Linked DNA regions of Canis lupus familiaris. The protein of the gene in region 6 purifies or fractionates together with the protein of the main gene of each other region. This does not show direct contact. Links are inferred from orthologs where the notes say so. Each region holds a gene or a part of one and is shown on either strand. Other genes may lie near its edges.

What was found.
Region 1: the proteins of SRC (region 6) and PECAM1 purify together in Homo sapiens (affinity purification with western blotting; 3 studies listed by BioGRID and IntAct, with this or other methods). This does not show direct contact. The link is inferred for Canis lupus familiaris from reciprocal best matches to the Homo sapiens genes SRC and PECAM1.
Region 2: the proteins of SRC (region 6) and PTPRA purify together in Homo sapiens (co-immunoprecipitation; 4 studies listed by BioGRID and IntAct, with this or other methods). This does not show direct contact. The link is inferred for Canis lupus familiaris from reciprocal best matches to the Homo sapiens genes SRC and PTPRA.
Region 3: the proteins of SRC (region 6) and MET purify together in Homo sapiens (co-immunoprecipitation; 4 studies listed by BioGRID and IntAct, with this or other methods). This does not show direct contact. The link is inferred for Canis lupus familiaris from reciprocal best matches to the Homo sapiens genes SRC and MET.
Region 4: the proteins of SRC (region 6) and KDR purify together in Homo sapiens (co-immunoprecipitation; 5 studies listed by BioGRID and IntAct, with this or other methods). This does not show direct contact. The link is inferred for Canis lupus familiaris from reciprocal best matches to the Homo sapiens genes SRC and KDR.
Region 5: the proteins of SRC (region 6) and CDCP1 purify together in Homo sapiens (co-immunoprecipitation; 4 studies listed by BioGRID and IntAct, with this or other methods). This does not show direct contact. The link is inferred for Canis lupus familiaris from reciprocal best matches to the Homo sapiens genes SRC and CDCP1.
Region 7: the proteins of SRC (region 6) and CBLL1 purify together in Homo sapiens (affinity purification with western blotting; 3 studies listed by BioGRID and IntAct, with this or other methods). This does not show direct contact. The link is inferred for Canis lupus familiaris from reciprocal best matches to the Homo sapiens genes SRC and CBLL1.

Annotation. Positions count from the first base shown.
Region 1 is NC_049230.1:14,719,091-14,722,590, forward strand, and holds part of PECAM1 (platelet endothelial cell adhesion molecule), read left to right. Parts: coding exon 1-258; intron 259-2,305; coding exon 2,306-2,581; intron 2,582-3,500. UniProt on the Homo sapiens protein: Cell adhesion molecule which is required for leukocyte transendothelial migration (TEM) under most inflammatory conditions.
Region 2 is NC_049245.1:18,694,564-18,698,063, reverse strand, and holds part of PTPRA (receptor-type tyrosine-protein phosphatase alpha), read left to right. Parts: intron 1-587; coding exon 588-737; intron 738-1,895; coding exon 1,896-1,989; intron 1,990-2,284; coding exon 2,285-2,361; intron 2,362-2,836; coding exon 2,837-2,971; intron 2,972-3,500. UniProt on the Homo sapiens protein: Tyrosine protein phosphatase which is involved in integrin-mediated focal adhesion formation.
Region 3 is NC_049235.1:55,825,270-55,828,769, reverse strand, and holds part of MET (hepatocyte growth factor receptor precursor), read right to left. Parts: intron 1,588-3,500; coding exon 1,478-1,587; intron 278-1,477; coding exon 112-277; intron 1-111. UniProt on the Homo sapiens protein: Receptor tyrosine kinase that transduces signals from the extracellular matrix into the cytoplasm by binding to hepatocyte growth factor/HGF ligand. Regulates many physiological processes including proliferation, scattering, morphogenesis and survival.
Region 4 is NC_049234.1:48,227,523-48,231,022, forward strand, and holds part of KDR (vascular endothelial growth factor receptor 2 precursor), read right to left. Parts: coding exon 3,415-3,500; intron 2,560-3,414; coding exon 2,218-2,559; intron 94-2,217; coding exon 1-93. UniProt on the Homo sapiens protein: Tyrosine-protein kinase that acts as a cell-surface receptor for VEGFA, VEGFC and VEGFD. Plays an essential role in the regulation of angiogenesis, vascular development, vascular permeability, and embryonic hematopoiesis.
Region 5 is NC_049241.1:43,687,438-43,690,937, reverse strand, and holds part of CDCP1 (CUB domain-containing protein 1), read right to left. Parts: intron 2,855-3,500; coding exon 2,633-2,854; intron 1,634-2,632; coding exon 1,253-1,633; intron 1-1,252. UniProt on the Homo sapiens protein: May be involved in cell adhesion and cell matrix association. May play a role in the regulation of anchorage versus migration or proliferation versus differentiation via its phosphorylation.
Region 6 is NC_049245.1:26,566,200-26,569,699, reverse strand, and holds part of SRC (proto-oncogene tyrosine-protein kinase Src), read right to left. Parts: intron 2,533-3,500; 5' UTR 2,372-2,532; intron 1,489-2,371; 5' UTR 1,481-1,488; coding exon 1,231-1,480; intron 1-1,230. UniProt on the Homo sapiens protein: Non-receptor protein tyrosine kinase which is activated following engagement of many different classes of cellular receptors including immune response receptors, integrins and other adhesion receptors, receptor protein tyrosine kinases, G protein-coupled receptors as well as cytokine receptors.
Region 7 is NC_049239.1:13,089,015-13,092,514, forward strand, and holds part of CBLL1 (E3 ubiquitin-protein ligase Hakai), read right to left. Parts: intron 2,901-3,500; coding exon 2,827-2,900; intron 330-2,826; coding exon 1-329. UniProt on the Homo sapiens protein: E3 ubiquitin-protein ligase that mediates ubiquitination of several tyrosine-phosphorylated Src substrates, including CDH1, CTTN and DOK1. Targets CDH1 for endocytosis and degradation.

The DNA.
Region 1 (3,500 bases), on a different chromosome or scaffold from region 6:
GCGGGGTCGTGAAGGTCAATTGTTCTGTCCCAGAGGAAAAGCCCCCGATACATTTCACAATTGAAAAACTCAAACTAGATACGAAAGGTTTCAAGCAAAAAAGAGAAAAAACTTCTCCCAACCGGAATTTCATGATGCTGGAGTTCACAGTGGAGGAACAGGACCACGTTATATTTTTCCAGTGCCAAGCCAGGATCATTTCTGGGACCCACATGGAGACCTCTAGAGCCATCAAGAGTGAACTGGTCACCGTGACGGGTTAGAGTCCTACTCTCCTTTTTATCACTCTTTCTGCCTTGCTGGTTTGGGATGGGGAGAAAGACCCCAGAAATCAGGAAGGGGGGTGGGGCCTTCTGGCTGGGCTTCTGTTTTCAAGACTGTTCTTAACCACTTCAAGGCTATGTTTATAGTTTAAAATATATGTGTGTATATGTGTGTTTGTGTGTACATGTAAAATTTCCCAAACAAAAGTTTCTCAAATAATACTTAATATATGAGGCATTTTGCCATTTTCTATTCGTTTGTATTTCAGTTTTTTAAAACACTGGCCATGACTCCGTGAAATGATGCATTGTGTAACCTGCAGCTTGGAAATCATGGCTTTAAGCCAACAACCCCCAAGCCTGGGTCAGACACCAGGAGGTGGAGTCTGGAGGGGATAGGGAGGGAAGGGAGTTCAGGTCCTCCGCCTTTGCCTCCCACATTTGATAAAAGACTCCCCTCTTCTACCCACCCCTTATCACCAAGATGTTGGACAAATAAGAAATAAATGAGGTGGCCTGAGGAGTGCTCTGGAGTGAGAAAGACAATAGCAGAGGGAAGCCTGGGACTGTGTATCCAGGATCAAGAGAGCTCCAGGACAGGCAACCCGCAGAATGGGACAAGGACTCGTGAGCCGAGAAGAGTCAAGGGAAGGCACACTCTAGTGCAGATAGCCTCAAGTCTTTTCTATAGGAGCCTCAAAGTTTGTCATAAATACCCTTCTGCTTTTGGTACCTATTTTCACCTCTGCCCATTGTGTGTGTGTGTGTGTGTGTATATATATATATACACACACACACATATATACAGGTATGAAATTATGTATATGTAATATTTTTCTGATTATAATACATGGTGTGGGTTCAGTTTTCAGAAAATATGGCACAATGTAAAGGATAAAGTGACAATCATTCATAGTACCACTGCTCAGAGAAAATCACTTGTAGGTCCCAGACTGGTTCTGCTTATACATTCATGCACGCACACAATTTTTGTTTGTTTTTCTTTGTTTTTACAAAAAACACAACCTGACCAACATACTGTTTTATAACTTTTCTTTAACTTATCAATATGTTACAAACTTTTGTCTGTATCAAGGAATACAGATGTAGGTCTTTTTTTTTCGTGGTACCTCAGAATCCTATTATAGGTATGTACCATAATTTACTAGTACCATTATTTTTCCAGTGGTAAACATTTGGGTATTTTCCTAATTTTTTGCTATTAAAACAACCCTGGAATACACACACTTACACTTATCATTTGTACTTTTGCAAATATTTTATTTCATTATTATTTATGACATTGATTTCTGGTAGTCAAGTTGTTGATTCAAATGTTTGTGCATTTTAAATATTGATATGTATTACCAAAGCACTCCTCAGATTGGTTGAACATGTCCATCAAAAGTGATGCTAGTGTTTATTTTCCCACAACCTTGCTCTCAGAGTATTATCTACTTTCATTATTTTTTTGTCAATCTAATTGAGGCACAGTGATATATTGTTGTTCTTGTGATTTGTATTTCTTTGGCTTTTACTGAGGTCGAGTATGTTCTCTGTGTTGATTGACCAATTACTACATTTCCCCCCATAAACTGCCTGCTCGTATGCACTTGGCCCATTTTTACTGTTTCTGATTGATTTGTTTGAGTCCTTTATAAATTAAAGGCATTAACTCTTTGTTGAGTACTGTGCAAATATTTGCCCAAGTTTGTCATTTGTCATTTGTCTTTATTTTATAAGCTTTTCAAGCAGAAGTGTTTCATCTCTGTATAATCAAACCTATCCATCTTTTTCCTTTTGGCATCTCAGTTTCGTGATTCACACCTGAAACTTATTAAAGAGTAAGATGGGAGGGAGCATTAGAGCAACTTAAGAGAAGGTTTTTGAGAGGAAAGTTTCAATTTTTTTTAATTAATAAGGAAGGACAGTAATTGGCAAAAAAAAAAAAAAAGATTAAAAAAAAGGGGGGAGGACATAAGTGCCTCTTCCTCTTGTCCAGATTTGAGCCTGAGTCCAACCAGTTTATCCTCTTCTTGTAGAATCCTTCTCTAATCCCAAATTCCACGTCAGCCCCGAAGGAGTGATCACAGAAGGAGATCAGCTCTACATTAGGTGCACCATTCAAGTGACACATCTGGTCCAAGCATTTCCAGAAATCATAATCCAGAAGGACAAGGCAATTGTAGCACACAAGAGGCATGGTAACGAAGCCACCTACTCAGTGATGGCCATGGCGGAGCACAATGGCAATTACACATGCAAAGTGGAAGCCAGCCGGATATCCAAGGTCAGCAGCATCGTGGTCAACATAACAGGTAGGGCTGCTGCTGGAGGGTGTGGGAATATGATGGGCTTAAGCAGTCACCATGCTGGAATCCAGAATGGCCAGTGAGGGCTGATAGTTCTGTTCCTGCTTGTCTGAATGATGTACTCAAATGGGGTTGTGGTGCTCAAGTGAAAAAGTCAATGCTGAGCCAGTAAGCAGTTAAATGTGGTGGTTGAGTGTGCAAGTTCTGGCATCAAATCCCAATACTGTCACTCATTACTAGGTGACTTACTGAGCTTCTCTGTGGCACAGATCTATGAGATGGGGATAATGACAGCAGTCACCTATAGGACTGTTACAATGACTAAGTGATGTGGCTCTGCTATAAAGAGCCTTATACGGGGATCTCTGGGTGGCGCAGCGGTTTGGCGCCTGCCTTTGGCCCAGGGCGTGATCCTGGAGACCCAGGATCAAATCCCACATCGGGCTTCCGGTGCATGGAGCCTGCTTCTCCCTCTGCCTGTGTCTCTGCCTGTGTCTCTGCCTCTCTCTCTCTCTGTGTGTGACTATCATAAATAAATAAAGATTTAAAAAAAAAAAATAAAGAGCCTCATACGGAAGAAGCACTCTGTGAATGTTAGTTAACATGTCTATTATTATACCACATTTATCTTTCCTATGTGCCAAGCACTAGCCTAGATCCCAGACATAGGTCCTAAGATAGGGTCAGGAGTGAGAAAGCATTAATAAATGAAAAAACAATAGTAACAATTCCCTTTTGTTGAACACTATATGACTGGATTATATACATTTTCATTTCATGCTTATAACAATGCTATGAGATAGGTGTCATGATTCTGCATTTATGGATGTGGAAATTAAGGCTGAGGTGTTAGGTCACTCACCCAGAAATTACAGGATTACCAGATGGTAGAACAAAAGTTATCCTCAGGTCCATTCGACTTCCA
Region 2 (3,500 bases), about 7.9 Mb from region 6:
TGCAGTGTGATGAAGGACTCTTAAGAATTGTGTTAAAGAGACATAGAGCACAGGGGAGGTTACACCTACTGGAGTTGGGAGGCAGGTGTCATTTGCACTAGACTCTAAGGACACGAAACAGGTCCTGAGAGAAGCACACGTGCAGGCAGCTGAGAAAACCAGTGCCCACGAAGGTGTGACTCAGCTCAACCATATCCAAGAGCAGCAGTAGGATCAGCTCTGTGGTTGAGGCATGGGGTACAAAGGGCGCAGCACCGGAGGCTGGCACAGGTTTTGTGTGTCACCAGATTTAGACAACCCCTTCAGACTATACTGTCAGAATGAGCAGGAATTGGATTTGTCCTTATCTTCAGGCTTCTGCCCTAGGAGGCTGCCAGAGTAGGACCCTCCCTCCCAAGTTAAGCACCCCCAGAGGACTCATGCATTATAGTCCTGCCTCACTAAACTGGCACAACAAGGGTGAATAATTTTATACTTGTTAAGGGCAAAGGAGAAGTGAACTGGAGTGAATTGAGGGTAAGGGGAAATCTGGCACCACAGAGACCATGTAGTGTGTAACTGGGAACTCGGGCATCGTGGCATTTCAGATGCAGTATGTCTTCATATACCAAGCCCTTCTGGAGCATTATCTCTATGGAGATACAGAACTAGAGGTGACCTCTTTAGAAACACATCTGCAGAAAATTTACAACAAAATCCCAGGGACCAGCAACAATGGATTAGAGGAAGAGTTTAAGGTGAGTTGGAGCTGAACTCCCTCTTCCAGACTGAAGAATCCACGTGCTTTGGGGAATATGGGATGCTTGGCTCTCAGAGATTTAGCAACAAATGGGGAATCCCCTTGTGCATGGTTTTAAGAGGTGAGTTTCTGGCCCTTTACTCGTAACCTCGTCATTTTCAACCCATCCTGCATGTTAGAATTGCTTGGGTGATTCTGAGGCACCCAACCCACCCTGCACACTCCCCCCCACACACACACACACACGCACATACACAGGTGATTATAATCTACAGCAACCTAAACTTTTTCTATAAGGACCAGACAGTATATATTTTAGGATTGCAGGCTGTTTGGTCTCTGTTGCAACTGCTTAAAACTTTTAAAGAGCAACCATAGATGCTACATAAACCAATTGAGCATGGCTGTGTTTCCATAAAAGTCTGTTTATAGGCAGCAAGCCAAATTTGGCCCGTGGTTGCTGACCTCTGCTGTTGCCATTAGACAGTGGTTCTCAGCACACCTAAGGAACATGTCACACCTCTGTCAATAAAGTGTTCTCCAAAGAGATTCTGGGCAGCAGTGGGAAAGATCAAATCCCTTAAAGCAGTTCTTCTCAAACTATAACATGCACAGGAATAACCACAGAATCTTGTTAAGATGCAGGTTCTGATTTGGCAAGGGGAAACACTTAGGGCCTGAGATTCTGCATTACTAACATAACAAGACTATTGCTGGTTTATGGACTACACTTTAAGTAGCAAGGATCAGAAAGGAGCCTCAGAATCAGGAGAAGGGAGCATATGCATTTGAAAATAAGATTTTCTAAAGAGTCCAAGCTAGCCTTTGGGGTAGAACAGCAGGGAGAGAAGAAAGGCAGACACACTCCTTCCTATGAAGCTAGGATCCTTGCTCCAGGATCATATAATTCCAGTCCCGGGGAATCCCAGAAGGGTCCACAGGAGCCCACAAGGCAGTGTTCCCCAAACACTCTTGGCTTGTTCATTGAGCTTATGACAGAAGAAATAGTGTTCCAGCAAGAACATGTGGAAGTGGAGGTCAGGGCCCCAGTGAGGAACAGTATGCAATCAGAGTAGCCTGAAGATCCATGTCTGACAGGCATAATCTTGCCAAGTTACAGGGATCAGTAATGTTTCCCCTCTCCTTCCCGATTCAGAAGTTAACATCAATCAAAATCCAGAATGACAAGATGCGGACTGGAAACCTTCCAGCCAACATGAAGAAGAACCGGGTTTTACAGATCATTCCATGTAAGAGCCCTCCCCCCTCTCCAAAGCCTTAGTATTCCCTCCTTCCACTTCTGAGGTTACTAATTCATTATCGACTTGGAGACCAGAATTAGGGCACTGCCTTTTTTTTGCTCTTAGTTCTTTAGTGGCTTCTGGAAATGAGAAAAGCATGAAGGCCAAGAGGTTTCTCTCTCTCGGGCTGGGAACAGGCATGTTATTGCAGCTGGGATTATACCTACCCAGGGCCTGGCGAGAAAGGAAAGATTTAGAGAGGACAGATGATGTTGGGGAGCCACAGCTTCTGTCCTTCCTGCAGATGAATTCAACAGAGTGATCATTCCAGTTAAGAGGGGTGAGGAGAACACGGACTACGTGAATGCATCCTTCATTGACGTAAGTGATGGCTGTGTCCCCAGGACTGCCCCTGCTCCATGAGATTTGGCTGGGCCTTGCAGTGCCAGTGGGTGGGAGTATTGTGTTTGAGTCCGTCGTCAAATACAGAACCTTACCCAGCCTGCACATTAGGTCTGTCAGGCCCTAGAAAACAGAATGTGATGTGGAATACAGAGGGCACACACCAGAGTAATAACTTGAGGGGAAATTTCATAGCACAGACCATGGCCAAGGGCTGAAAGCCTCTGGCCTTTCCCATTCTTGTTTTCTTCATCCCAGCCCCAGTCCCCTTTTCCCCCACCCTTGTAGAAGGAGACCAGCATGTCAGACAGGGTTTGGTCCTTGACCAAAGGGGAGGTCTGCCTGGGTTGAGTTTGCCTCCAAGCAGCCCCATCCCATCCTAGTGGTCTGTCTTCTTCGCTAGCCCCTCCCTGATTAAAACACCTTACTCCTACCATTGACCTGGCTTGTACAGGGCTACCGACAGAAGGACTCCTACATCGCCAGCCAGGGCCCTCTTCTCCACACCATTGAGGACTTCTGGCGAATGATCTGGGAGTGGAAATCCTGCTCTATCGTAATGCTGACAGAACTGGAGGAGCGAGGACAGGTGAGCTCAGTCAGGTCCTGGGCTGTGGGAAACAGCACAGGAAAAGGTGAGGGGCTAAGAAGAAATGTTTAGCTTAAACTGTCCAAAGAGCCATATTCAAGCAGTTGACCTGAGCAGTCAGGAGTTTCTCTCAGGACTGGAAGAGCAATGCGGTCTGAGCTGCCAGACAGTTCCTGCCTCTTCTCTCCTAAAGATGGTTTTCCCAGTGCCTAGCTTTATGCACACCTCCTCCTCCCACCTCCCAGGCAGGGCAGAGCTAGTGAAACGAGGGATGCAGAGCCAGACCAAGGCTCTAATGTGGAACTCCTGAGTGTCCCTAAGAAGAGGGTGCCTTGTAGGCCAGAAAAATGAACTGTGGGAAGATGAGTGGCCTCTTTGCAGACTACAGAAAAGAAGACAGAAGAACTTGAGAAATAACTTAGATGTTTCTTCTGTTAAAATTCAATAGCAAGGAAATCTTTTAAAGAAAAAAAAAAAAGAATTGTCTGAGAATTCAGAATGTAAGGAACCCTAGAGGCCCTCTTGGGTC
Region 3 (3,500 bases), on a different chromosome or scaffold from region 6:
AGTCGTGTGGAATGCTTCCTTTTTTTGAAAAAAATTAAATTGCCATAAAACTACTATGAATGTTGGGTATGAAAGTAAAAGAGGAGAGGTCAGGGATGATCAGTACGTTACCACATCTGACTTGGTGGTAAACTTCTGAGTTTGCAGACTTTCTAAAGCCATCCACTTCACTGGTAGTTTGGCGCCTGTTTTGTTGTGTACGCTGTAGTATTCTTTATCATACATGTCTCTGGCAAGACCAAAATCAGCAACCTTGACAGTGAATTTTTCATCCAGCCTATAGAAAGGACAAAAATTATTACTGGCGCCTGAAATAGAATAATTTACAGTGATGCTGACTATCTATAGGTAGCAACAGGGACTTCATATTCAAAATCTGTAGCTTCTGCAGAGTGGGCTTCATCTGGCCTCTACTGATCAACACTAAATTTCAATGGGAATTCTTGAACAAAAATGCTCGACATTTATATCACAAATTCAACAGGCCAGGCAAAGAGATCAATGAATGATGTGGCATGAGAAAATCTCTTGCTTTAATTGCTCTTTTGTTGGCCCCCCTCCTAGCTTTCCTTTGTTGCTAAATCAAGTTTGCCAATTGACTACCACAAGCAATCGCAGATCTTCCCTTGTTATCTTACTAGTAATACTCAGTTTTATGGGGGAGAGATGACACAGGACTGTTAGTCTACCATTTCTTTCACAAATGGGCTAGGGTATTACAGAAAATTCACATATCCCACCACGGAGATAACAGAAAAATAGGATACACAGTAAAGCATCCGATGAACACAGCAAGCAAGGCTCAACAAAAATCAATTTCCGCTATCTGAGGCTATGCATCCTTTGTTTAAGCTGGCTTTTATGTTGTTACACTGACCAAAACCAAGGTAGGAAATTAATAGCAGAGCTCTCTCATTCACACATACCATAAGTCATGAATCAGTGCTATGTGAGGAAAGCACTGAATCCATTACAAACTGTTGACTGTTGAATTATACAGCCCAGGCAGCCAGACACAAATAAAGCTCTTTGTATATTCATTCCCAAATACCATTTTTGGTAGGGCTTCTGCAGGCTGACTTCAAATCCAGTCTTAGGAAGTTGCAATATGTTGGTATTTGTGTTACCGGCCTTCTCCTTTTCACTGTAAAATGCTGAAGATCAAATTCTCCCTCCCTAACACTAATGCAGTGTGAAACCACAACACTGGGGGCTACTGGTGGGAAGGGAAAAGAAAAGCAAAAGCACACAACAGCTGTTTAAGACCCCCTCTGGAGAATTCCTTTTAAATTCTCCATTTGATAAAGCCTGAAAGCCCCGCCTACCTCCCCAGTGCTTACATTTTGATTTAAAACTGTAAGGGAAATAAAGGACTTTTGCATAAGAAGAGAAAACACCCTCACTAGTTTCAACAGTGGGAAACAGATTCCTCTTTGTCACTTAATTTGGACTGTGGCACATAGATTCTTATACTTACATACAGTTTCTTGCAGCCAAGTCTCTGTGGACAAACTTTTTGCTTGCAAGATATTTCATGCCTTTGGCTACTTGAAGACCAAAGCCAATAAGATCTTTTACAGTTGGGTTCTGCAATCAAAGAGAATTGAAAAAGCATAAGCGAAGTATCTAATGATCTAACGATGATCTCAGAATTCTGAAATGTTTATAAGAATTATCTTGTTTCAAACAATAACTTGTGCCTTGTTGATAACAGCAGTCATTTATTAGATATTTGCATCTGTTATTTGCAAAGTACCAGGCTAGATGCTTTTGTGAATTTTGGCTAATCCTTATACACTTCTGTAGGGTGGATTCCATTTTCCAGATGGGGAAATGGAAATGTTTTTAAATTATTTTGGTGTGGTGGGGCCAACAGATGGAAGACCACTGCTATTGAAGAGGTAGCTAGTTATTGACAGTTCCCAAGAGGAGGGGACATGCGCCGCGCCAAGCAAGGCCACACAGGGAAGTACAACGGTTGGCCTAGGAGGCAGAGGGAGCAAGAAGAAAACATAGGCAAGAGCTTGTTTTGTAGTTTCTGAGGCAGGGTTAGCAGATTTAGGACTGGCTACTTTGAATAATTTCAGCAGGTTCTGGGGCGGTAGAGGCTATCTGCAGTCATCTGGTACCTGGCCCTGAAGTGATTACAGCGGGTGGATAGTGTCTCAGTGTGTGAGAGTTTTTTAAAGGATGTGATTGGGGTTGGTTTGCTTATGAAAGGCCTGTTCTTTGAAGGTGAGTTGTTTACTATCCAGGAATTTGCTAGTTCTGAAAAGGGCAGTCCCTCCAAGGTCCACAAGGAACCAGAAGTCAGAGCATCAGAAATACATGTTTAACCTAAAATTCCTATGGAACCACAAAAGACTCCAAACAGCCAAAGCAATTTTGGAAAGTAAAGCAAAGCTGGTGGCATCACAATTCCGGACCTCAAGCTCTATAACGAAGCTGTAGTCATCAAGAGAGTATGGTACTGGCACAAAAACAGACACACAGATGGATAGAATAGAACAGAAAACTCAGAAATGGACCCTCGGCTGTATGGTCAACTAACCTTCGACAAAGCAGGAAAGGATATCCCATGGAAAATAATCTCTTCAACAAATGGTGTTGGGAGAATTGGACAGCCACATGCAGAAGAATGAAACCAGAGCACTTTCTTAAATCAGACACAAAAATACATTCAAAATGGATGAAAGACCTAAATGGGAGACAGCAAACCACCAAAATCCTAGAGAACACAGGCTGCAACCTTTTTGACTTTGGCTGTAGCAACTTCTTACTAGACATGTCTCCGGAGGCAAGGGAAACAAAAGAAAACATGAACTCCTGGGACTTCATCAAGATAAAAAGCTTCTGCACAGCAAAGGAAACAACAAAACTAAAAGGCAACCAAAGGAATGGGAGAAGATATTTGCAAATGACGTATCTGATAAAGGCCTAGTATTCAAAGTCAGTAAAGAACATACCAAACTCACCCCAAAAATAATCCAGTTAAGAAATAGGCAGAAGACATGAATAGATATTTTCCTGAAGGAGAGATCCAGATGGCTAACAGACACATGAAAAGATGCTCAACATCACTGATCATCAGGGAAATAGAGATCAAAACGACAATGGGATCCCATCTCACACTTGTTGGAATGGCTAGAATTAACGACACTGGAAACAACAGGTGTTGGTGAGGATGCAGAGAAAGGGAAACCCTCTTACACTGTTGGTGGGAATGCAAACTGGGGCAGCCACCCTGGAAAACCGTGTGGAAGTTCCTCAAAAAGCTAAAACTAGAACTATTCTGTGACTCAACAATTGCACTAATAGGTATTTATCCAAAAGATACAAAAATACCGATTTGAAGGGGCACATGCACCTGCTTATAACAGCATTATCAACAATAGCCAAATTATGAAAAGAGCCCAAACACCCGTTGACTGATGAATGGATAAAGAAGTTGTTATATATATATATATATATAGCCTCTCTCCCTCTCTGTGTCTTTCATG
Region 4 (3,500 bases), on a different chromosome or scaffold from region 6:
GATTCCCAGATGTGGTGCATGAAACTTCAATGGTTTCACCAATACTTGTAGTCTGATTCTCCAGGTTTCCGGTGATCATGGGCGCCACGCGCTCTATGCAGACACACACACACACAAAAATCACACAACATTCAGTTATAACTTTTGAAATGGTTTTAGCATCAGTTAACTGATAAATAGTTTAAACTTAGTAAACAGTAAGCCACTGATTTCCTAAGCTGCAAATACACAGAGGTTGATGACAATACCATTGGTCACCAGGTAAAGTCAAATGAAACAGGTCAGGACAGTTGAGATAAGTCACTGCTCCTCTATGAACATTCCTATTAGTGACTCTAGTTGATTGTCACATCACAAAATGAAGGTTGTCACCTTTATGGGTTTTTCCTAATTAGACACGGCTTCCCCCAAGGGGAAACTTTCCCTCCCACGAAAGTTCCAGCTAGTGACACCCTTGAAGTTTGCCATGTTTCTCTTGGAAAGTGCGAAACTTCAATGTAATTCAACAAAGAATACCTTATATTTATTTGGCTTTTTTTTTTTTTTTTTTTTTTTTTTTACAAAACTCAGTTATACTATCTCTGTTGCTCACTTTCAACCCTGGAATGGACAAGAATATTAACCTTATTTCACAGAGGAAAGAACTGCAGTTCATGGGGCAGGGGGGGTGGGTAAATGATTCATCCAAGTCCTTATAACTAAGTAAGCATTTGACCTAATAATAGAAACTGGTGAGACTGAAAGCCTAGTCCAGTGCCATTCCCACTAAAACACAAAAGAGCAACACAGAAATCCCTAAAGAAAGTCAAAGATCTCAAGAAAATTAAGCCCACGAGTATTTCTTTCAATGTATAGCAAAACTTTCAAAATATAGAAATATTTTGTCCACAGCAATCAAATGGAATCTTGCTGAAAGAATCCACTTCAATATTTAGCAAAACGAGATTACCTCATTGGTGAACTACATTAGGGCTTAACAAATATCCTGGGCTCTGGTCTGTTTCTAAGAATAATTTTAGGAAAACAACTTAGGAGCTCTTAGAAAAGCAAAGCAGCTCATTGTGAGCACAAATTTCCTGGGCATGGCCCCTTCACATCTCTCTCTGAATTCTTCCACTAATTTGAAACCAGACAGTCACCAAGGTGAACAGAAAACACATGGCCATGTATGTGATATGATATGAAGGGCCCTGGCAATGACTTCACCCTAAAATATTCCTTCTTTTGACACCTAAGTCTTAACACCAGCAAATACTATCCTAGGGTCTGTCTGAAGATACCTCTTAAACTTGCCAAGGCCTCTGAAGAAGATATTATTCCTCTAAAACTTTGGTATAGATTCATTCACCTGGGCAGTTTGTTGCCCTTCTTAAGAGTAAAATCAGAGAACACATGCATCCCAGAAACTGGGAAGGGACACTCATGAGGGGAGAAAATGGAGAGAGTGGACACAAAGAGAACTTTCCAGATCTGTCTCATTTCCCCAGAGACAGAGGCATGGCTGCACAGCTCCTGTGCAGGACACGGGTTTAGATGAGGTGTGGAGAGTGGCTCCCTGGGGCATTTTACAAAGCTATCAGCTCATTAAAATGATCATCCCATTGATCCCTACGTTGGACTACATGGGATGACCCAGAGGTGCAAGCTGTGAGTGCAGCACCCCTCCCACGGGCTCTCCCAGGTCCTAAATAACTCTTCATGCAGCAGATGCCTTCCTGAGCACCTACTATGTGCCACTATGTTCTGTGATGCGAGCTACAGCAAGGAGGAAGAGAAAACAAATCCCATCCTCATGGACACAAAGACCACAATGTGCCATGGCTGCCCCGTGGTTGCCTGTGTTTTCATCTTGTCTACCTACTTACCATTGTGAACTTCTGGAACCTTCTTAGCTCATAGTAGGCATTCCATGAATACGTGTCTACTAAAATAAACAAATGCCAAGGATAAAGCAGGAATTTCCCCAGTTTAAGCTAATCTCTTGTAGATAATAGTGAAGTCCTATCATTAGAGCTAGAAAGGAACATGTTATTTTCTCTTTTTAATACATCACTTCACCACTATTGGCCTCTTTCTGCCTCCAGAACATTCGGTGAATAAGGCAAGTGTGCACCAGTCTACTTCCTATGCTCCTATAGGACAGTGATCTTACAGTCCCTAAAAGTACCACATTGAAGGCTTTCCAACTGTCTTTGATGACCAAAATTGCCTCCTTACCTAAAACTGTGAGCTGTCTGACCACACAATGTCTTTTCTTGGTCTTCCTGTCCTGAGCGAAGCACACATAGTCTCCTTGGTCCTGCAAGGACACATTCTGGAGCTCCAGGATCAAAATGTCACTTGTGCCATTAGAGAACGTGGTGGCATTCATTCTCCAAAGAGCATCCAAGTTCTTGCAAACAGGTGTGGGCACCTCTCCCGCATGGACTGCCAGAGCCTGTGGGCCAGACTTGTACCACGTGAGGTTCTCAAACGTAGTTCTGTCTGCAGTGCACCACAAAGACACGCTCTCCTGCTCGGTTGGCTGGGTGTCCGGTTGCAAAGTGATTTCAGGGCCCCCTGAAATATAAAACCTACGGTTAGAAAATGGTGATTTAATTTGGGCAGCACACTATTGTCTTCCTGTTGCCTTCAGACTGCTGTAAAGCACCAAGAGAAGTGAAGCCCTAGCAATCCCAGCAAAGGAATACAAGGAGACTACCAAACTAGACAGTTCGGGCTCCAAAATGTATTATTTTACCAAGATGCATTCCTCAGATACGTATCAAGTCTCTACTTTGGGCTCAAAACACAGCTTTAGAGATTAAAAAAAATCCAAAACATATTGAAAGCAGATAATTATACCAAGGAACTTTAAAAATTAGTTCCTCATTGACACATCACACTCAATGACACTGAAGCTATATTTATGACAACAAATTAGCCCGCACTGAACTCTTGACCACCTAGTCCGGTCAGCTAAAGCTTAACCATAAAATTAAGATGCACAATCAGAATCAGCAGCACTGGGCAGAAACTGCCTCTGTGTCATTGCAATTGCCTCCGGAAAACCCAACACTGTCAACAGCTCAGCAGCAAGCCCACCAATACTGATGGAACCCCAAGAAGCCAAGCGCTGTGCTAGACTAGGATGGTGGAGCCATAACCGTGATGCAGGATTTGTGGCTAAAAAAATATGCAAAACCATCCTCTCCCCTGAGGGAATGGGAGAGTCAGTTCTACCGACTTCCCACGCACCCAACAGCTAGCTGAGGAGTCTTCATTTATGAACCAAAGCATCCCCAATCAGCCCAAGTCCTCTTCCGAAACACCATGCCACTCCGGAATGGCAAGGGCCACAGAGCATCAGACAGCCTAGTGCCCCCTTGGCAAGAGATCTAACCCCCCCCCCCCCAAAGGGAGAGCAATACTCACTGATCACGTGGAAGGAGATGACCCTCTCTCCTCTCCCAACTTTATTGACGGCTTCGCATTTGTACAAAGCTGACACATTGGCTGCT
Region 5 (3,500 bases), on a different chromosome or scaffold from region 6:
AGCCACTGCCATGTGTGTCTGTAGAAGACCCAAAATGTGCTTGACAGAGGAGCTACATTTTTAATTTTGTTATTAATTTAAACATAAATTGCCACACGTGGCTAGTAATTGTTGGTCAGCACAAGGTGAGAGTCTCAGGTTAAGTGCTCAGGTCTTTTGAACAAAATCGATCAACCAACCAACCAACCAACCAACCAAAAAAAATAACCCAAGGCTAGTTTGCCAAACCGCTGGTTATTTCTGAAAGCTTCCTTTCAGAAACGCCCTCGACATAGCTAACATCTACCTGATGCTCTGCTCTACAGTGGGACTGGTAGGGACTGGTTTCTGTTTCAGAGATTAAATCACTTCCGGTTCTGGGAAGAACAGAATTGCAAAGCAAAAGACCCCCAACATGTCACCTGACCTTCCGGTGAGATCAACTCCAACAGTCTACACTGAGGAAGGTATGTCTTGTTTTCAAAGACTCCCCAGGAGGAGTTCTTTGGGTAGCTGCAGAGATATCAGGCAGCCTGGACTAACCTTAATCTTATGGCCAAAGAATTCTTCCCTCCCCACTAAGGCCTCTGGGAACAAAATCTGAAGTAAACCTCAGATAAAAGTCTTGGTCAATTTTTAAGTGGCCTCTGACTTTGAGCAACTTGTAATGGCAACTGTGACTTTGAAAACCAACCATAGAGAGCTTCCCGTTGCAAAGGATTTAGATCCCATTGGCTGCCCAGCACCCTGAAGATCAAACACTTGCTTGGCAGGAGGGGCTGTGTTTCTTTGCTGGGAACAGGACCCTGGCACTCTGGAGACCCATCTCTCCCCCACCTGCCTTCCTCTGTGCACTCCACACCACCTTCCGAATGGTCAAAGTGGACTCACAGAAATGCCTGCATAAGGATTTTTATGCTCCCACCTTAAAAAATCCAAGATTCGGGAATATCTGGTTAGCTCTCATGTATGCCCCTGCCTGCTTCCAAAAAAGGCTTGAACCTGATTATTTGTTCTGCTGCTGCCAACTGTCACCTCCCACTTTCAGAGTCTTATTTCTGACTCCTGGGATTTTTCCACAGTAGGTTAATGGAAGAGTTGGGATGAGGATGCACCATCTTGTGAGAGGACCAACCCACTCATCTCTCCCTACTCTTCAAGTTGACAGCTTAATTAAGACGATCACAAAGCAAAATAAGATGGATGCCCCAAACAAGAAAGGGGCAGGAAGATGGGGAGAGAGAGAGAGAGAGAGAGAGGGAGACCTCCTTACCTTTGAAGTATGGTATAAAGGACACGGTCAGGCCCTGCCTGGAAACCTCTTGTTGGAAGTTGGGGGCAAAGGTGCGGAGGGTCACCGAGATGTTCTGCTTCACCTGGATCTGCTCGATGGAGCCTCCAGGGCAGAAGGAGCCGAAGTAAAGATCCTGGCCGGGGACGGCGCTGGCCACCAGGTAGCTGAAGCTCGTGTTGCAGAACTTCTCTTGTGTGTGCTGCTGCAGCTTCTGGGAAGGCACCAGTGCCAGGCTGAGCTTGTCCTTGGGCACCAGCAGCTTCCAGGAGAAGTCGTGCAGCTGCACAGGCAGCTGGAGGATGTCCACAGGCACTTGGAGGGAGTAGGGCCTCCTCCGGCAGTTCCGGTGGTCCAGGCAGCCTGGAAAAGAGGGGCTCGTGCTACCAGCAGGGAGGAGAGCGGGAGTGCATCCTCCCCAGCTGTAGAGACCATCCTAGACTTTCTGGCTTTTCCCTTTGGTCTCTCCCCACCCACTCTGTCCTCCATTCTCCTGGCCTCCTTCTCTCCATGCTCTTTTTCTAGCTGCCCCTCTGGCCCACCCTCTCACATTCTTATTCTGCCCTAAACTGGCAGACCAACCTCTGGGGAGTATTTAGGGTTGAAACGTTCTCTTCCTGTGTGTCAGCCTCTCTTCTCTGTATCTGAGTCTCAGATGCTAAGTATGGGCAGGGCATAGGTTTTTCCTCCACCCTGCTTCCCAGCATCCCCGACTGACTCTGGGGAGGTGGCTCTGTGCAGCAGGCAGAGCAGGGATGGAGTTGGGGAGATATCTGTCACTTCTTAGCATGGCTGGCTGTCTTGTGTCTTGTGGCCTCTGCTGCCACATCTATAGAAACTCTAAACATCCATGTCAGAGGTCATGGTGGCCCAGTGGGGAGGTGACTAGGGGTTTTGCTGCCCTCCATTCATCAAACATTTATTTCATGATTAATACATGTCCAGCACTACCAGGGGACACAGGGACAAAAAAATGAAACAAGCCACAGTCTTGACCTCAAGACTCAATCTCATGTAAGAGGAGACAAGGGCTCATTGAACATGGAAGCGGGGGTGGGGTGGGTTGGTGGGGCGGTTACACAGAGGACAGGATCTCATGAAAGATGCTGGAAGGCTAAGCAGAGGACACAAGCATGAAGTTGGAAGTGCAATGCACTTCTGAAGGACACCCGTTCCAGCTGAGGCTCTGGTCCTAGTGGGGGACGTCTCCACCTCACCATTCGCTGCTTGGTTGCCCTTGCTCACCCTGCACTGTAGGGTGCACTATTCCAACCTACTCAGCAGACCCCATTAAGAAGATAAGGCGCGGCAGGGAGATTTGCCCATGGGCCCCGGAGGACGGTGCTAACTAAGGGGACGTACTTATGGTTTTCTCGGCGTTGATCCACAGGCGAGTCAGGTTATCACAAAGGAAAGAGATCTTGTGTTTGGAGCCGGCTGTCAGGGTGAGGTTGGTGCTACAGGTCCGTGACTCCAGACACACAAAGCAGCCAGGGACAAACTTGCGGCTAAGCTTGATGGGCCGTGGCTCGATGGTAAGCGACATGGCTTGCTCGTTACTCAAGTCGACCAGGTAGATTTTATCTGAAACCACGAGGAGAAAACAGGTCTGAAGTATGGATGAGAAGCCACCCTACGAAAGGCTAAAAATTAGCACAAAACGTCTCGTGGCTGGGGAGTGTTGGAAACATGTTTTATTATTAAGAGAATGTACAAGAATCTAGAAGAAATAAATTTATTTATTATTTATTCAAAAGATTTTATTTATTTGAGAGAGAGCAAGAGAAAGAGAGAGAGAGACAGCACAAGCTGGGGAAGAAGCAGAAGGAGAGGGAGAAGCAGACTCCTCGCTGAGCAGGGAGCATGATGAGAGACTTGATCCTAGGACCCCGGGATCATGACCTGAGCTGAAGGCAGACGCTTAACTGACTGAGCCACCCAGGGGCCCCTAGAAGAAATTTAGAAAGAAAAATAATGGCCTGAATTCATTCAGGCCAAAATGAATTCAAGTTCATCTTAATCCTTGTTCATATGCATGCATATTTTCAGCTGCTTCAAAGTATGGTATATATAAAGTTTTATACTCAGCTTTTGCTTTATTACTTCACACAGGTTTACTTATTTTTCCATATAGTTTTCATATTCACAAGTCTTTGAAAATATTCAGTAATTTAGTGGCTGCGGGATAGTTAATAAGTGAGATTCACCACTGTTTATTTAAATATTCTCC
Region 6 (3,500 bases):
GTCTGTGTGACTGGGTGTATTGGGGGAGAGCTCAGTTCCAGGTACTGTGCCCTCAAAGAGATCCCTCTGTCCCCCATTTTAACCACAACCTTCACCCCATACCCCCCAAGACCCCCCCTGCCCTTTTTGCTCCTTCAACGGCAGCACCGCCTTCGAGCAGCCTACACATTTTACGAGCCTTGCTCTGTTTTTCTCCCCCATGCTCTGCATACTGCTGTGTCCCCAGCACCAGAAGAGTCCTGGCTCACAGTACGGGCATCACAAATGAATGGGTGTGTTTGTGGGTCTGTGTCTCACTCGGGTATGTGTCTGTATCTAAGGCATCCGTGAGTGTCCCTGTGTGTCCGTGCGTCTGTGTGTTCTCACTGTGTGTATGTACATCTGTGAACCTGTGGGTATCCGTGATGGTGCTCCTAGCTGAACCTGTCCGTACCCTGTGTGTGTCTTTGAGGGGCTTCTGACTGCCTGTGTGTGTGTCTTCATCTGGGAGTACGAGGTTATCTGTGCGTGTGTGTCTGTGTTTGCGTACATCTGCCTGGTTGCATGTCTGTGCCCGTCCATGTGTCCCTAAGTGGGTCTCTATGTCCACAGTGTATCTATGAGTATCTCATCTTTGATGGTGTCTCCAGCTCATCTCGTTCAAGGGTCTGCATAGGTATCTTAGGAGCTGCTGTGTGTGTGGCCCTGAGTGTGTCGAGGGAAGAATGCACGTGTTTGTGTGAGTGTCTTCCAGCTGTGTGTCTCTGAGACCACGTTGGCATCTTTCCGTGAGCATCCCCGGCCTGGGACTGCCATACCGCGAAGCGCCAGCAGAGGGCGCAGGGGCGCATCGCGGCGCTGGGCCAGGCCCCTGAGAACCAGAGAGCTGCCTCCTGCCCTCCCTTGCCCCCTCTGCCACCCAAGGCCTCCCGACCTGACCCATCGCTGGGCTGCCCAGAGCAAAAAGCAACGCCTCAAACCCAGTCCTCATGCTGCCCTGAGCCAACAGCCCCCGGGGCCCCCTGCACCTCGGTTCCCCTCTGCAGGCCCATATCTCTAGACCCTGTTACTGTCCACTTTGGATTTGCTCTCAAAGGCAGTGGGATTTGCACCACACTGTCCAGTTTATAAAGCTCTTCCCCACCCACAGTCTCCAGGAAACCCCCAACAGTCCCCAAGCCCAAGACACCCACAGCCCTGCTGCGAGAGAGGCCCGGCCCGCAGGCACCCACGCTCCCAAAGCCCACTGACCAGCCAGCGGCCCCGCCCGCTGCGGGGAGGTGACCGTGTCCGAGGAGTTGAAGCCCCCAAACAGCTTGGGCTCAGCAGCTGCGGAAGGGAAGGCTGTACTGGGGCCTCGGTGGCCATCAGCGGAGGCTGGCTTGCTGGGTGTCTGTGAGGTGGGGAAGGCACCCCCGCCGCCACCGTGGGTGTTCTCAGCTGGCTCTAGGCTGCGGCGCCGTTGGCTGGCATCCTTGGGCTTGCTCTTGTTGCTGCCCATGGTCCTGGCTGGAGATGAGAAAGCACACTGGGTGAAGGACTCTGGGAGCAGGCAGGGCTGCTGGGCCCGGGCCCTTTAGACAGCCTCCACCCCCACCCACCATTCTACAGACGAGGACACCGAGGCCCAAAGAAGGGCACCAGCCTCTTTTGGATAAGTTAGACTTTCAGAGCCTCAGTTTTTTAACCTGTAAAATGGGGATAATAATGGGACCCATAAATGGCTTCCTTGGGACAAAGCCAGGCACAGAAGCAATGACTCATAATCAGAAGCCCTAACCTCCCTCACTTCCCCCTGAGTCAGTTTCTGTCGGTCATGGGCAGGGACAGTATCTGAGTCATGGCCATATCCCAGGCATACAACACATAGGAGAGGGCTCACTGAGGGCTTGCTGAGCAATTACATGACTGACTGAGATGGTCTCACACCAGAGTGAAAGGTGCTAATAGTTGCAGCCAAGACAGGGATACAGAGGAAGCTGGAAGGAGAGATGTCTGGGAGCTCACCCAGCCACAGGGCCTTTGCACATGCTGTTCCCTCTGCCTGAATGCTCTTCCCTGACCACTTCACCAGAATAACTCATGCCTCCTTCAGTTCTCAACTCAAAAGTCACCTCATGGGGAGGTGTTCCCCAAATCCTTTCTGGTTTAAGTACCCCCTTACTTTTGTACCTCTCTTGATAACACGTGGCCCAGAAAAAAAAAAAAAAACAAACTGAAAACTCTCCAGTGATGCCCATAGCCCCGCCACCCCCTTTTGCCTCCTACCTCCCACTCCACAGATCCTGGTTGGTCCCAGCTTCCAACAAATGTGGCCAGGGTCTTCCCACCCATCACGGCCACCCCTCCCTATGCCCCCCATCTTGGCAGCCCTGATGGGCCATCACCTCACCTGGGGGAAGGCAGGGGCTGTCCCAGAAGGTCTGGGAAGCAGCCTGAGGTCTCAGCACGAACACCAGGTCAGGGGTCTTGAACTAGAGGCCCTGCTCCACGTCTCCCTGCTATGTGACCCTAAGCAACTGACTTCCCCTCTTTGGGCCTCAACGTCTTCATCTGCAAAACAGGGAGAAGGCAGACCTCTCAGGCTGTTGTATGGATATGATTAGAAAGAGAAATCACCATGGCCCTGAGTCTTGGGTCCCAGTTTACCAGGCTCTGACTCTGACAGTTCCAATGCTAAGAGCTTCCCAGACCTTCCCTTCCATCAACCTTCCCAAAGCATTTTATGAGCATGAGCAAGGCAGGGTATGACGCAGCGGTTAAGAGTGGGCTCTGGAGCCAAACTCCCCGAACTCAGATCCCACCTTTACCCTCATCGGCCATATCACCTCAGGGTAATGACCTAACCTCTCTGTGCCCTATTTCTTCATCTGGAAATGATGGGGTCATCAGGGTCCATGGTAAGTGAACGAGGCAAGTATGTTCTTGCTGGGAATGAGGCAGGTCATCCCACCACATCCGCTATGACTGATACTGTGTGATTCTGGATATACCGGCAAGGTAGGTTTGGGATATTCTCCAGGGAATGCTGCAGGCCCTGGAATCAGTCCAGAACTTCCTCTGGGAACCCATGGATGGGGAAAAGTGTTCTTGACTGGTTGAGGCCTTAGGCAAGACTACCGGCCCTGAGCCCCAAGCCCAGCTCTGCAAGCTCTCCTCCTGCAGGAACTTTAGCCAGTTCCTGCACCCCTGAACCCCTCAGGCTGACGGACTGCACAATGTGGGCGTGGCCTGCATGCTCCCTGGGGACCATCCAGCTCAGAGAATGGGCTGGGGAGGCCCTGAGGAGACCTGCTCAACAGCCCAAGGGATCACCAGGGCCTCCTGAGGGACAGGCCAACAAGCCTGGAGACAAAGAAGACCAAGTTCCATGGCAACCCAATCCACCGGGGTCATATCAGCACTCATATTGTTGGTGTCCCGTGGGTCCTACTGACCCAGTTCCCCGCGGCTCCAGGCTGCACCTGCTACGCAATGGCTCCCTGGTACAGCATTCACAGCACTGACTGTGCAGCAGAAGC
Region 7 (3,500 bases), on a different chromosome or scaffold from region 6:
GTGGCTGATTATAGTGCTCGTGTGGCACATGTTGCAAAGGAGGTGGCGGCATCATGATGTGCTGCTTTGGCGGGATATGGCTCATGTGGTGCTTATCTGGCGGCATCAGAAAACGATCAGGGATTTCAGCTGGTGGTGGAGCAATAGGAGGATGAACGTTTTCAAGTGAAGCACGGGTAACAGGTTTTCCAGCTCTCATATGGCGGTGGTTGATATGAGCCTGTAAGTCTCGCTGAGACAAGTATGTTCTCTTGCACCCTTGAACAATGCTACACATGAAGAGAGAACCTCGTGTACACTGCTCGATTCGCTGCACAGGATCACTACAGCTAAATTAGAAGGGGAAAAAACTGATTTACTAAAAGCAAACTACAAAGACAATGCACATAATTTCACAAATAGGCCTGTTTTTAAAAACCAGTTGTGGAAAATATTGCAGAAGTTCACAATTAAAAGTTATAGTTACAGAAAGTGAACCCTTAACTTCTCTCCCATTCTGCGGTCTGTTCCCTATTAAGCATCAGCATTTCTACCAACCTCAGAACTCTGAAGAAAAAATGAGAAGTGCTCATCAAACAGATTAGGTTTTTTTTTTTTTAATTTTATTTATTTATTTATTTACGATAGTCACAGAGAGAGAGAAAGAGAGAGAGAGAGGCAGAGACATAGGCAGAGGTAGAAGCAGGCTCCATGCACCGGGAGCCCGACGTGGGATTCGATCCCGGGTCTCCAGGATCGCGCCCCGAGCCAAAGGCAGGTGCTAAACCGCTGCGCCACCCAGGGATCCCCAGATTAGGTTTTAAAAAGAGACCCATTCTTCCTAAGGCCTAGAATGATCTTGTTGTCTCAAAGAACTCTACGCTTTACATCCATTTGCAAAAATATCCAGAAAGGTTAAACCAAAGATCTGTCATAGTCCTAGAATTCAAACCTGTATGGTATTTATTGAGCAGTCAGTATGTGCTGAGCAAATAACACTAAGTAAAAGATACCGCAAGGACTACAGAAATTAGTAAGATCATCCCAGTTATCAGGGTTCCTAATATTAAACAATGTGAACAATTTAAATTCAAACTATCAAGAGTCCCTTAAGGAAGAGTTACCAGACAATTTCACTACTAAAAAAATACTAAACACTCCTTTCTAAACTGTAGGCACTAAATTTAACTCAGTATTTTCTTAAAGACTCAGGGTCAAAATTACAACTCTTTTTCATTCACTGTATTTAATCCACATTTGCCTTTGTAGTCTGTTGGAAATAGTGGAAAGAGGACTGAACTAGGTATCAGAAGAAATGAGGTCAAGCATTGGCTCTGTAATCTTGGAAAAGTCACTTAATCTTTTTGCTTATTTCTTCATCTGCAATATGGGGTTAAAACATGCATTCCACCTAACTCACAGTGTTTTTCTATTTTGCCCTACCTTAAAGAATATCCTTAGGATAAAGGAAACAATGAAAGTGACAGAATTGAATCACTAGTTAAGTACTACATATACAGAGACACAAGCTATGATCACTGAATATGTGTGTCAGGTCCTTTGAAATTATATTAAATGGCTCTATATTTTTTATTTTGAGTTGTGTCCATATTTCCGTCCTTGCTGTAAGACTGGCACTCCTTGATCCTAGCAGGCTTCCCTTTAGTCCCATTCGGCACAGTTCCCATTTCTTGTTCCTAATTTGCTGTAAACTCAGAAATATCTCTACAGTAACAGGATATAAGGTACTTTGTTTTGGGTGATGCTTAAAAGCAACAGTGTATGATATTTATATAACTTGGGTTGCCATTTCTTCATTTCCTGACCTGAGTCTGTTAAGCCAGATAGGCTTATGTTCTCAAATAGCTAAGGGCTAACTAGTGAGGTACTTACTGAGGAGTTACACTTAATATCTTGAAACCTAAATTCCTTTTTAAATATTAATATTAGAATACTTATTGAATCATCTCTTCTCTCTCAGTGATGCCAATCTTCCTACACCAAAAAAAGAAATCATCCTGGAACTATCTGTAATTCTGTTATCAACCAATACTACCAATCTTGGGATAGCTTCTGACCCAGGTTATAAAATCTCAGCAGCTTACAGTTGTCCCAAGGAAGTTTGTCTCAAAGCTTTCTTTAGCCTTCTATCAGGGATTCTAAACTGATATAAAAATTCCTTATTCTGGATCTCTCAAGATCATCCCAAATCAGATCAGTAGCAACCAATACCTCTAGATCTTCTTCATTAACTTATCTGAGCTGATGCCACGATCGTGTTCTAAGATATAATACTCCAGACATAAATAATAAGATTTCGAGGTAATAAATAATAACTTATACTTAACACAGTACTTATCAAATGTAAGGTACTATATATATACTAGTTTAGCTCTAACAACAACACAGGGAGGTAGATATTATTATTAGCTCCACTTTACAGATGAAGAAACAACCAGGGACATAGCTAATAAATGTCAGAAAAGGGATTTGAAGCCAAGAATTCTAATTCCAAAGTCCCTGTTCTCAATCACTGCTTGATACTATCTCTCACGTATCCCATCAGAAAACAAAACAAAATAAAACAAAACAAAACTGTTCTCATTTATAATAGTAATTTTGTGATGACAAATGTTGTTTGTTTTGGCCAATCTGAATTGACAAATAGCTATCTAGCCCTATCCTAAGGAGAAGGCTATGGCCAACTCTGGGCTCACAAAGAAAGATCAGCCATGTCTGCATATTTGATATCCTGCTGCTGACTTATATCATACCCAGGCCTTTAACCTAGATTACAATTCATCTCATCACAAACTTTATTATTTAAAAATGTAATGATAATCTTACCCTGGACACATCTTATCTCCTTTTTTTTCATGTAAAATAGCACAGTCATAGCAAAAAACATGCTTGCATGGAATCTGTGAACAGAGACATATTAGTTGTATTAGCATACAAGAATGTAAAATATTTCCATAAAAAATAACCATAAGCACAATAACCTAGACATAGAAGGCACCTGAGAACTATTCATCAAAATAAACATTAAGTACTAGTTACAGAAAAGCAACAGTTAACCTTTTTCAGTAACAAAACACTTTGAGAATATAATGAAACCTTTGGCTCTTTCCTCAATAAACGTATACATGTGCATCTGCTTACACTTTCTGGAAATATAAATGCTACGACTTTCATCCTGTGGTTCCTAGGATGTAAAGCACGTGAAGAAGCCCAGATTATCCAAAGCAATCTACAGATTCGATGTAATTTTTCACAGAACTAGAACAAAAAATCCTAAAGTTTGTATGGAACCACAAAAGGCCCCAAACAGCCAAAGCAATCTTGAGAAAGAACAAAGTTGGAGGTATCACAAGCCCAGGTTTCAAACTATACTACAAAGCTGTAGTGATCAAAACTATGGTACTGGCAAAAACAGACACAGATGAATGAAACAGAGTTGGGACCCCAGAAGTAAACCCATGCTTATATGATCAATGAATCTATGACAAGGGAAACAAAAA